3 linked regions of the Oryctolagus cuniculus genome follow. Each later gene encodes a partner of the first gene's protein in a complex. Links are inferred from orthologs where the notes say so. Each region holds a gene or a part of one and is shown in the gene's direction. Other genes may lie near its edges.

Region 1 (3,936 bases):
TTTTGAGGTGCCCCTCTCCTTCCCTGCTGGATGGATGTCCGAGAAGACCAAATACAGAGTTACGACTTCAGCTAATCTTAAAAGTAACAAGGCAAACCATCCCCTGAAAGTGTCAGAGAAGCCACATGGGGATCAGTAATGAGGCAATTCTTCCACATCCAGCCTGAGTAGTATTAGTAGGTACATAGTGGAGAGTCTTGTCTTCTACTACTGCCCCACACTTATAAAGAGTACCCCTTCCCCAGTGTCAATGGAGGCCAAGCTGCTGATAATAAGATGATGTCCTTTCCCCATTGGAGTAGCGTCATAGGATCCTGCCATATCAAATATTTAAATGAGATCAAATGTCTCACAATATTAATCACTAATATATCAAGAATTTAATTTTAATAATCACTTATGTTAAAAGGAAAACTAGGCTATTCTCAATTAGAGTGAGAAAACATGATCTAAAGATGTTGACACTCAGGGTTGTCTAACAAGGATTTTGTAGACTCTACAATAAAAATACTTCCACAATAATCATGAATATACTTGGAACAAATATAAAAAACATAAAGTTTTAGCCAAAGAAAAGAATATATAAAGAAGAAAATATATTTTGAAATAAAATATTCAATAACTAATATTTTGAAAACTCCATGAATGGGCTCAACAGTGGAATGGGAGAGAAAGAGGAAGCAATAGTGAATTGGATTTTTTTTTGCCCTCCGCGCCCGGCAGCGTTTGCCTGCGCCTCTCGCAACCTCCTCGATCCTGCGCGTTCCGGAGACAGGGGAGCGAGCGGGAGGGCTGGCAGACTGGCCCGGGCTGCGGCGAGGGGCTACGGCTGGAGCGTTCCTGGGCGGGATCGGCGCCGCTGGTCGACTGGGCGGAGTGTGCACGCTGCTTGGCTCGGCAGACTGATCCCGCCGCCAGCTCCCTGGAGCAACGATGTTGGGCCACAACGTGCCGAAGCCCGCGGCCGGCGAGGCGGGCTCGGCGCTCCTAGAGGACCAGGAGAACATCAACCCCGAGAAGGCGGTGCACGCCCAGCAGCCGCGGGCCCAGGCTGCTCTGGTGGTACTGAAGGCTGGGAACTCCCGGGGTCCAGTTCCACAACAGAGGCCCACGACGCGACGGGTTGCACCTCTTAAGGATCTTCCTATAAATGATGAGCAGGTCTCTGTTCCTCCTTGGAAAGCAAACAGTAAACAGCCTGCATTCACCATTCATGTGGATGAAGCAGAAGAGGAGCCTCCCAAGAGGCCCACGGAATCTAAAAAAGACAAGCCTGAAGATGTCCTGGCTTTTAATTCAGCCATCACTTTACCTGGACAAAGAAAACCACTGGTACCTCTTGATTAGCCAATGGATGGTAGTTTCGAGTCACCATATACTATGGACATGTCAATTGTATTAGAAGATGAAAAGCCAGTGAGTGTTAATGAAGTCCCAGACTACCATGAGGATATTCACACATATCTTAGGGAAATGGAGGTTAAATGTAAACCTAAAGTGGGTTACATGAAGAAACAGCCTGACATCACTAACAGTATGAGGGCTATCCTCGTGGACTGGTTAGTTGAAGTAGGAGAGGAATATAAACTACAGAATGAGACTCTGCATTTGGCGGTGAACTACATCGATAGGTTTCTTTCTTCAATGTCTGTGTTGAGAGGAAAGCTTCAGCTTGTGGGCACTGCTGCTATGCTGCTAGCCTCAAAATTTGAAGAAATATACCCACCAGAAGTAGCAGAGTTTGTATACATTACAGATGATACCTATACAAAGAAACAAGTTCTGAGAATGGAGCATCTAGTTTTGAAAGTCCTTGCTTTTGACTTAGCTGCACCAACGGTAAATCAGTTTCTTACCCAATACTTTCTACATCAGCAGCCTGCAAACTGCAAAGTCGAAAGTTTAGCAATGTTTTTGGGAGAATTAAGTTTGATAGATGCTGACCCATACCTAAAGTATCTGCCATCAGTTATTGCTGGAGCAGCATTTCATTTAGCACTCTACACAGTCACGGGACAAAGCTGGCCTGAATCATTAGTACGAAAGACTGGATACACTCTGGAGACTCTTAAGCCTTGTCTCATGGACCTTCACCAGACCTACCTCAAAGCACCACAGCATGCACAACAATCAATAAGAGAAAAGTACAAAAATTCAAAGTATCATGGTGTTTCCCTCCTCAACCCACCAGAGACACTAAATGTCTAACAGTGAAAGACTGCATTTGTTTCTAAGATGTAAATCACTCAAAGTATATTGTGTACAGTTTTTATCTTGGGTTTTGAATGTTACAATCATTTCTGAATACAGAAGTTATGGACAAGAACAAATTATGGTATCTATTACTTTTTAAATGGTTTTAATTTGTATATCTTTTGTACATGTATCTATCATAGATATTTGGCTAATTTTAAGTGGTTTTGTTAAAAGTATTAATGATGCCAGCTGTCAGGATATTAAGAATTAATAAATTGATTTGGAAAATTTTATAAGTCAAATTTAATTTGAGATAAAAACCTGACTTCAAGATTTCTTAGAAAAGTTACCTGGCTTATACAGTACAGTGGGGAGTGGAAAGCCACTCTCTAAAAAGTTGACTTTAGGAAAACAGACCCTCAATGTTCTAATATCCATTTTCCTAAGCAACTGGATCAGTCTGCCGATTTCTGCACAATAAATCTGTGCTTATTTACCAGTACGATGAAAATCATTCTTCTTTGTACACACACAGCAGCCTATCAGATTATTTTATTCCTCATCAATTTTTACACTTTACACATACACAGGTTGGGGAATAAGGCTTTGAGATGACAAAATTTTCAGAGAAAAAGCTCTAGAACATTCACTTTAATGTTAAAAAAATAAAACTTAGGGATTTGTGAATAAATGATACCCAGGTTGTTAGCACTGAATAAATACATCTAATAGTTATATATACAAATATACAACTATGTTAGCTTTAATTAGCAGCTCTCTTCTTTTTTCTCTTTTTCATTGGCTTTTTACTTGGTGCTTTTTCTTGTTTCCCAATGGTGGTCTGTGTTCTGCGGATAAAGTAAAATAAATTAACAGTTCACTTAATTATGCTTAAGTTTTGGATCACTGAAATAGGAGGTCTTTTATTTTTTTGCACTAGGGTACAAAATGTGACAGCAGGAAAAGTAAATACAGTAACCCTGAAAGGTATCCAAAAATAGTTTAATAGAGAGTTAGGTGCTAATTTTTATTAATTACAGGGTGAAAAAAACACATAATAGCTGATGAAAAAGGGATGTCTGTGTATAACAGTTCTGTAAGATGAGAGTCAAACCAGAGAGCAAGCCTCAAACTCTTAAGTTACATGTACATGTTTGAAATAAACCAAAAACTTGTTACCTTAAAAAAAAAATAGTGAATTGGAAAACAAATCAATAGAAAAATTACCTACATGGAACTAGCATTGTGGCACAACATATTAAGCGACAACTTACAATGCTAGCATCTCATATCAAAGTGTAGGTTCAAGTTCCAGCTGCTGTTCTTCCAATCCAGCTCCCTGTTAATGTTCCTAGGAATGCAGTGGATGATGACCCAAGGACTTAGGTACCTGCCACCCATTGGAAAACATGATGAATTCCTGGCTCCTGGCTTTGCCCTAGCCCAACTCTGAATATTTTGACCATTTGATGAATAAACTAGTGGATGAAAGATCCCTATATATATTTCTTGCTCTTGCTGTGTGTGTGGGTGTGTGTGTGTGTGTAGATCTGAGAGAGAGAGAGACACAGAGAGAGGGAGACTCACTCTCTCTGTCACTCTGCCAATAGAATAAATAAATGAATAAATATTTTAGGAAAAAAAAGAACCAATTTTAACAAAAATATAAAAGAAAAAATAATAGGAAAATTTGAAACCATAGCAAAAGATATAATATCCATAGCATTCATAATATCCTGG
Region 2 (4,353 bases), about 23 Mb from region 1:
AAATGCGTGTCATGGAAAAAAGAACTATTTGTGAATTTTAACATTTTTGTGATAATATAAACTTATCCTTTGACTAACTTTCCATGAACTTTTTGAAGTACTCATATTCGTTTGTCAGAGCTACCATGACACAAATACCACAGATTGGGTTGTCTTAACAGAAATTAATTGTCTTGCAATTCTGGAGAATGGAAATCCATGAGAAAGTGAAAAAGGTGTTAGCAGGGTTGTTGGCTCCTCCTGAAGCTTTGTGTTACCAGCCCAAAGGATGCCTTCAGCCTGTTTCCTCATATGGCTTTTGGGTGTGTCATCCCTGAGGTACCTTCATCCACTCATAAGAACACCAGTCTCATTGGGTTTTGGATCCACCTTATTGCCTCATTTAAGCTTTGTTACTTCTTTAAATGCCCCATCTCCAAATGCAGTGACACTGGGTTTGGAGATTCAACATATGAATTTGAGAGGAAATTAAACTCAGTCTGTAAAAATGCCTATTTCCTAAATGGCTATCATGCTCAGTGTAAAAAATCCAGAGTCAAAAACCATATACATGCTAGTTAGGAGAATGTATGCGATAGTCAGAGGATCAAATGCTAAATCTGTCACTGCCTAATTGTGTAGAGATTCATCAATTTTCCTAACTTCAGTGCCTCATTCCCTATCTGGTGTGACAGGGACAGTAAGAGTGCCTGCCTCCCAGGGTCATTGCCAAATGCCCATCAAGTTGGTAAGTTGAAATAAGAATTGCCTATTATTGGTGGATGTGTGGTTTTAAAGATAGTGTTACTCTTCTTTATTTTCTACATATAACAGGATGGGATATGTTGTGAGAATAAAATGTAACAAAAAAGATAGAGAAAATAAAATATTTTGAGAAATGCTAATATATGCTACTTTTTCTTAATTAGATTATCTTAGGTGATAGTAGTTGCAAAGGTAGCCTCCATATAAAGAAAGATATTCTATATTCTTAAATTTGTAACTTAATTCATTCTTACCAAAAAAAAGTCAAAATCTTTATTGAGCACTTACCGTGTGTCCAAGATTGTTCCCCAAGGTGTTGGGGAGCTCAGTGAACAGATAGCCTTTCTCCTGAAGCTTACCTCATAGAACTCAAATATGTCAGGTTCCCATTTAGCACCCACTTCAGGAATTGGGGAAAATATGACCTACCCTATGGAGGGGGAGAGGAATATTCATTTGGAGCATTATACTGCAAGTTGAAATTGATTTATCACGTGGTCAGAAAATACACAGACGCAAAACTAACACTGGGGTCCGTTGGGTGGAATCCCGCAGTGATCGCCCTGATCCCCAAGAAGCCAGTTTGGGCTTTTCCTGACCCTACTCCCAGGCATCAGGGCCAACCTGCCATTCAGTCCTTCATAGCGGCTGCAGGGGAGGCACTGGAGGGAGCTCAGGGCCGCCGGGTTGGGCGGGCTGCGCGGTCACCGCCGCCGCCGACGCCCATCGCCGGGTAAACTATGAGAGTGCACAGGTGCGGGTTTGGAAGCGTCGTTGCGCACCCGGATGCTGGGCGCCGCGGACCCTGCCTCTGCTCCACAGCCAGGAGCCCTGACCCGCAATTCCAGCGCGGTGGTCTCCCTCAGCACGAATGACTTTGGCTTCTGTTGGGTGTCTCCTGACCCACGTCACCAGTTTGACAGCCTAGCGCCAAATCAGAGGGCGGCGCTTGCCCGGAGTCCCGCGCGTCACCTGGAGCTCCCACAGATTAGAACTCGTCTCTCCTAGGTCCTCCCGCTCGGTCCCATTTACATCTCCCACTGGCTTTAACGCAACAGTTAAGAGCGGGCTCAGTTTGTGCCGCGTCTTCTTCCACTGCAACATGGTAAGTGAGGAGCTGGCATTAGCTAGTCCCTGGGGAAACCTGGGGCCTCTGAAAGCTAATAAACTTTGCTTTTAGAATTTATTTCACTTTGAGAGCAAGGTATCTCTGCTACCTGCTGCTTCAAACAGGTCTTGTGCTGCTCCGCTGGCTTTTACTGTCCTTCCTCTTCCCTCTGTCTCTCATCGTTTTACCCTCTCTGCTTCTTGTACATTCCGTACTTTTTCCCCCCACTTTTCACTTTCCACCTGCACTCACTTTTCATTCCAGCTCTTCCTCTATATTATGCACATATTTGCAAACACTTGGACTTGAACTACTCTAGGAGTATTTAGGGTTTGTTTTCTTCTCAGGTGTCAATTGCATAATAGCTTAACTGATTCCAATAATAACCTCAGGGAAGGAGTCTGCAAACATGCTTTTAGAATAAAAGAAAATACCTCTTGATAAACTTTTGGCTGAATTTCTTCGGTATGCAGTGCCCAAGCTGGACTGGCTTCAAAATTGGACTTTTTGAAAATTTAACTCATTGGGAACTTTTAAAAACTGTGATTTAATTGACAATATTTTTTTCCTCTTCTTTTTTGTTTCTTCGATTTATGTTATTCCCAAGAAAAGTCCAAAAATCAACAAAAGACTTGTAGTGGTCAAAAAAGGTGTGTTCAAAACTAGGCTCTGCTGAAGTGAATGGCTTTTACCTGACTAAACATTGACAAATAATTAAGAATGGGCTGTTGTACAGATTAACCCAGGACTGCTGTGTACCTGCCCCTACTTGCACATTTGGGAAGACTGTGTTTGAGGTTTGAGAAGAGGGACAGGAGGGTGTTCAGTGGATCAGAAAGAAGTGGATAATACATGCCAGTCTGTTAGCTGTGGTGATATAACTTTGGAAGGGCATTGGGCCCTAGTGAAGTAGACAGCTAGCACTTGCGGACATCTGACTTCCTTCAGCTTTGATTATGTGCTTACTTGGAGTGACTTTATGCCCCCTGTACTTGGATTTGGAGTTGGGAGGAGAAAATATAGACATATTTGTATCAGAGGTAGATCCAGTAGTATGTTGGGTGGAGAAAGGAAGAAGAGAAGAATCACACAAGTTAGTAAGTATATGGTTCAGCAACTAAAATGAGGAGGTTAGTCTATATGATGTTATGTCTTGTCCATTTTATCCTTGGGAATCTGGGTTCCTTTTTAGTCAAGGTTACTATAAATATAATTGAGATATTTAGGAGAGAACAAGTCATGTGTCTTTAAATCGTTAGTAGAATTCTTTTGTCTTCGCTTGTGGATAACCTGTTAGGTGAGCGAGGCATCACAACAAAGAATCTTCTTAGATATTTACACATGTGGTCATTCCAATACCAGTCTGCTCTTTGCTCATAGGGCATTAGAAAGTATTGGGTAAACTGAGGAGCTGATCCCACTTAGTGGTTTTACTTTGACAACTCAAAAATTGATCCAAATCTGCACTTAATGCTTTCACTGTTTTTTTTTTTTTTTTTTTTTTTGATTCACTGTATGTAATTTCTCCATGTTTCTCCCACCCTTTTCCCCATCACCTTATCTCCTGGGACCCCCACCCTCACAACCACTACTCATACTGATTTTCACAGAACACCATTCTACCTTGCCAAGATCAGTACTTTGTAGGAGGCCAGAGCTATAATTGCCCGTATTCCGCTACAACGTCAGAATCTAGTGTTGACGTTTCCACGGAGACTTGGGTCTCTTTCTGGGCTGCTGGTCTCCTGGACAACAGAGAGCCCCAACAAGCACCACAGGCACAGGGTAAGTTGTGCTCTTCTACTTTCCTCATAGATCTGGAGCCTTTTCCAGTGCCCGTAACTGCAATGCATCATGGGCTATGGATCCTGTAGAAGAAGGGATGATATGGAAAATTTAAGTCAGTTCATAGCCTCCTGAACTTCGCAGCTATAAATATGATTGTTTGTTCTTGACAATGAATAAAAATGGGATTCTATCCCTTGGCTTGCTAGAACACCATGTATTTTTCTCTATATTTTAAAATTCTTGGGGATTCCCAATTCACTGAGGGAGTTTGGGTCTGGGTCAAAGTTTTATAAACAGTACCTAACAGGGTGATTTTAGAGTGAATATATTAGTTGGAGCATTTTTAAGGTGAATTCAAGAAAGTTATTTTTTTTTAAATAGAGAAAACCAAGAACAAAGCCAAGCTTCATCTACTATTTTACAAAGGAAATTCTATGAACAGCTCCTTGTAAATGAAAAAATAAAATGATTCCTCTTCATAGAAAAATCATTTCAAGTTTGAAGGGATGTATAAATTGATGGGAATTTACATACACTGTTAATTCTGACCTGTTGCCTAGGGAAATATACTTGTAAGCTTTCATAGAATTTCTGTCTTAACAATCAGGTTTTTGGAAAAGTTTTCAGGTGCCTCAGAAATAAACATTGGTATTATTGATTCCACATGATTTCTTGGGAGAAGGCTCTAAGAAAAGACACAAAAATTCCTCCCG
Region 3 (4,000 bases), on another chromosome or scaffold:
TTTGCTCACTCTAATTACTACTGAAGCACAACTGCTTTCCGTGAATGTGCCTCTTAAGTATTTCACACCCATTCCAGCCATGAACTCTGACTCACTGGGAGGAAGTTGCATGTCTTTGACATCATCATACTCTGCAGACAGAGGCTAACGAACTGAAATGTAGGGGCGGGTGTTGTGATGTAGCAGGTTAAGCTGCCACTTGGGATGCCTCCATCCTGTATTGAGGTGCCTCGTTGTGAGTCCCGGCCACTCTGCTTCCAGTGGACCTTCCTGCCAAGGCACCTGGGAGGCAGCTAATGATGACCCAAGTACTTAGGTTCCTGCCACCTACATGGGAGATCAAATGGAGTTCGTGGCCTAGCCTCAGCTGTTGCAGCCATTTGGGGAGTGAACCAGTGGATGGAAGATATTTCTCTCTGTGTCTTGCTTTCTTTCAAATAAAATAAATAAATCTTTAAAAAGGGAAGGGACTAAAATGTCAACTTCAGGATCCCAACTACCCCAGACCTTGCCTCAGTCTGAAACATTTTACACAGAACTCATTTCCACTTCTAGATGTAGGGGTGTGAGATTCAAAGGATGGCATTTATGTTTATTGTATACTTTACACTGTACCAGGTACCTACAATTTGAAGAGTAAGACATGATCTTTGCCTCCAAGAAGCTCATGGTTGAATAGATTTCAGGATCGCTACAAGGAGAAACATATGGTGGATTAAAAGGCTTTTATTGGGAGTTAACCAAAGAAGGATGGTGACATCCTAGGCAGGAAACATCAAAAAGCACAGAAGTAACAGCATGATGATGTGCACATCATGTCATTGGAGGGTCAGTTGTGGAAAGAAAGCTTCCAGTGGATAACTGCTCAGACCTTTCTGTGGTTCTGTGCTCTGTCAGTGGTCATTTACTCTTGCAGGGTTTGGGCCAGTGCTGTAGTCCCTGGCATTTTCATAGGTTCAAATATGTGTGGTAAGTTTTAAATTCCTGTGCTCCTCCCACCCCCATAATGAGGTAGGCTGTTCACTGCCACCAACCCTTAACATGGGTTGGGCATACATTACTGTTTCAGGTTATCAAGGACAGTTTTTAGGGTCCCAGCTTAGAAAAGTGAAAACTACTTCCTGGGTTCTATTGTCCTATTAAGAAAAAAAAAAAAAAAAAAAAAAAAAAAACCTTAAGGGTTAAGGGCCTGGCTTAGTGGTACAATGCCTTCAGCTACTATCTACAACACTGCATCCCATAGGGGCACAGTTGGAGTTTCAGCTGCTCCACTTCTGATCCAGCTTCCTGCCTACAAAAGCAGTGGAAGGTGACCCATGTACATGGATCCCTGCCACCCATGTGGGAGACCAAGATGAAATTCCAGGCTCCTGGCTTCAGCCTGGTCCAGCCTGGCTGTTGGGGCCATTTGGGGAGTAAACCAGCAGGTGGAAGGTTGATATCTCTCTCATCACCCTGCCTTACAAATTAAAAAAAATTTTTTTAGAAAAGCCTAAAAGACAAAAATTCTATGGTAGCTTTTTCTATTCATGGCAGCCTAATCACTTTTCACTTGCATAGTTTTCATCTGCCGGGAAGCCGTCGCAAAATGTACTCCGTCTCTTCCTCTTCAAAACCTGCATTTGTCTAATGCTCTCCTTATGATTAAGTGGTTAAGAATTTGAATTCCCATCAGAACTTAAGAGTTCAAATTTTAGTTATTAATTTTATGTTCTCAGGCAAGTTTACTCAAATCTACATGGTTTCTTCGCTCTGCTTTGGTTTCCTCGTTTGTTAAATGAAATAACATCAACTTCGTAGGGTGCTTGTGAAGATTCATGAGGTGGTGGATCCACATACTGAGCTCTGTCCCTGGAATACATGTAAGCACTCGATATTGGCTGTACTATAAGTACAGTCGACTGATGGTTTTAATATTGTTGCCTTCCTATTTCCCGGTTTTATAGCTATTTTATCTGATATTGAAGGATAAAAGATAAATGTTTACCATCACCTAGAGTTGGGTTTTCTCGCTTTTAAAGGAGTTTGAGATTTAGAAGGGTTATTAGCTGTGAAAGCTGGCCTACAAATTACTGCTCTAATTTAGATTTTTCATTAAAAGCTCAGCTTGCCTCTTCTGTAATTGTCTTTCTTGGCCCTGAAACCCTAGTGTTTAGCCATAAAAGGTTTTAAGAATAAGGAGCCATAATTTTACTTCCCACAATTAAGTGGTGGTTAAATAATACAGAAAATCTAACACAAATTTTCTTTAAATAAAAGCAAAGAGTCCCATTTACCACATTTGAAGTCAAAAGATGTAGTGATGAAGTCTAGTATGTTCTTTATATAGAACTTTACCAAAAAAGCACTCGTTCAGATGTCGGGAGATCCCAGTCTTAGGCAGCCCCTGCTACCAACATGCTGTGACCTCTAACCCAGAGCACAGGATTTGCTTCGTGCCTTGTAGGGTGGAGCGTTAGAGAGGAGTCATGCCTCAGCTCAGAACCACCCCCAAAATAGAAGGCGTAGGTGAGCAGGGACAACCACATTGACTCCTCCCGTGCGCACAGCGCGGAAGTACAGTGCCCCAAGCAAAGACTACCCCTCCCGGCGGGCTTTGCGGCGTGGTGGTCCCGCCCAACGCCTAGCGTCCCACCGCAACTGCGCGGTTTCCGCGGAAGCCCCGGATGTACGTGCCGGGCCTTCTTAGTGGGCGTGGCCTCTCGGCCTGAGACCTGGGGCGCTCTTATTGGCTGTGATGTTTCTGATTGGCTTGGATAACGAAGGAAGAGGCGGAGGCCAATGCGCGCGGCGCTGTGGCTGCAGCCAATCAAAGGCGTAGCCGGGCTTTGGCGGGAGACGGGAACGGTGTAGCTGAGCGAATTTGGCGCGAGCGCGTCTGTATTTTGCTGCCTGCTGGTGTTCGGTTTGGCCGGGAACGGTGGTGGAGTCTGAGGCGGTGTGTGAGGGACGTGAGGAACCTGCACTGAGGTGACGCAGCCCTGAGAGAGGAGAAGATTGCTCGGGAGACTGAGGTCTGGGGAGCTGCGCGAAGGTTGAGGTTTCCGCGAGACCCGAGAAACAGTGAGGGGAAGGGAAGGGAGATCGCGGGAGATCCGAAGTCGGGGCCGGGGCGGGGCGGTGCACCCTCGAAGTGGCTCTAGCAGTTGTGCGTGGTGTGAGGGAGCTGAAGCTGCGGACAGGAAAAGTTCCCGGCTGCGGCTGAGAGCAGGGTGAGAGGGGGCTGAAGGCGGACGGACGAGCGGCGGTGCGAGGGCTCCGGAGACCGTGCGGCGGCGGCGGCGGCTGTGGGCCACCGGGGCCGGAATCCCGGGGTTCCGTGCGTGTCGGACTTTTCGGCCACTTGGGCTTCTGTGCACCTCATTTCTTATCTGCTGGATGAGGATGATAATAGGGCCTACCCCTCGGCGAGCGAGTTAGTACGTAAGGAATGCATGACAACGTGTTACACAACACAGGGTAGCTGTTACCACACAGGCTGGGATGTGGAGCAGAACTGAACGTTTTCATAACATTGTTTGCTTCTGAAATGAGTGCTGATCATCGGTATAAGCGAACTCAGGGTTAGGTATTTTTCCTTTTCACATGTTCACTGGCTGACGTGTTCTTTTTTTTGTCTCTAGCAGTATTGCCATCATGCCTCAAACCCGATCCCAGGCACAGGCTAAAATCAGTTTTCCAAAGAAGAAGTTTTCTCGGACAGTAGACAAAAGTAAAAACCCTGGTGACGTCAAAGTAGAACCAGCAAATGCGCACACTCTGCCCTCTTCTCCTTGCACAAAAATTCTGCCTCTGAGCCCCAGAAAACGTCTGGGTAAGTTTAGATAAGTGCACCTCTTGGACTGGTAGCCCTCAACCTTTTTCTCAGTGATAAGATGCCTGTCCTTCAAAGGAGCTTTTTCAGTTAAGACTACTGTGTTCATTTTAGTGATTTCCAGAATATTTGCTAAGTGCTTACTGAACTACAGGGTTAAGCCACTCATTGAGATCACTTCCTAAA

The links. The genes of interacting proteins can lie anywhere in the genome.
Region 2: the proteins of cyclin-A2 (region 1) and GMNC are in contact, whole or in part, in a cryo-EM structure (PDB 9HIU), measured with the Homo sapiens proteins. The link is inferred for Oryctolagus cuniculus from reciprocal best matches to the Homo sapiens genes CCNA2 and GMNC. Residues at the interface, in NP_001228.2 of Homo sapiens: Met210, Ile213, Leu214, Asp216, Trp217, Glu220, Val221, Glu224, Arg250, Leu253, Gln254, Tyr280, Ile281, Thr282, Asp283, Thr285; in NP_001140158.1 of Homo sapiens: Asn165, Ala166, Lys167, Arg168, Asn169, Leu170, Ser171, Glu173, Phe174, Ala175.
Region 3: the proteins of cyclin-A2 (region 1) and CDC6 are in contact, whole or in part, in a crystal structure (PDB 2CCH), measured with the Homo sapiens proteins. The link is inferred for Oryctolagus cuniculus from reciprocal best matches to the Homo sapiens genes CCNA2 and CDC6. Residues at the interface, in NP_001228.2 of Homo sapiens: Met210, Ile213, Leu214, Trp217, Glu220, Val221, Glu224, Tyr225, Arg250, Leu253, Gln254, Glu277, Tyr280, Ile281, Thr282, Asp283, Thr285; in NP_001245.1 of Homo sapiens: His89, Thr90, Leu91, Lys92, Gly93, Arg94, Arg95, Leu96, Val97, Phe98, Asp99, Asn100.

Annotation. Positions count from the first base shown.
Region 1 is NC_091435.1:65,355,077-65,359,012, reverse strand, and holds cyclin-A2, read left to right. Parts: upstream 1-1,350; coding exon 1,351-2,208; 3' UTR 2,209-3,388; downstream 3,389-3,936. UniProt on the Homo sapiens protein: Cyclin which controls both the G1/S and the G2/M transition phases of the cell cycle. Functions through the formation of specific serine/threonine protein kinase holoenzyme complexes with the cyclin-dependent protein kinases CDK1 or CDK2.
Region 2 is NC_091435.1:88,641,323-88,645,675, forward strand, and holds the start of GMNC (geminin coiled-coil domain-containing protein 1), read left to right. Parts: upstream 1-1,508; 5' UTR 1,509-1,846; coding exon 1,847-1,849; intron 1,850-3,462; coding exon 3,463-3,637; intron 3,638-4,353. UniProt on the Homo sapiens protein: Regulator of DNA replication. Promotes initiation of chromosomal DNA replication by mediating TOPBP1- and CDK2-dependent recruitment of CDC45L onto replication origins.
Region 3 is NC_091448.1:22,183,950-22,187,949, reverse strand, and holds the start of CDC6 (cell division control protein 6 homolog), read left to right. Parts: upstream 1-1,155; 5' UTR 1,156-2,970; exon of another isoform or gene 2,971-3,014; intron 3,015-3,043; exon of another isoform or gene 3,044-3,063; intron 3,064-3,623; 5' UTR 3,624-3,636; coding exon 3,637-3,814; intron 3,815-4,000. UniProt on the Homo sapiens protein: Involved in the initiation of DNA replication. Also participates in checkpoint controls that ensure DNA replication is completed before mitosis is initiated.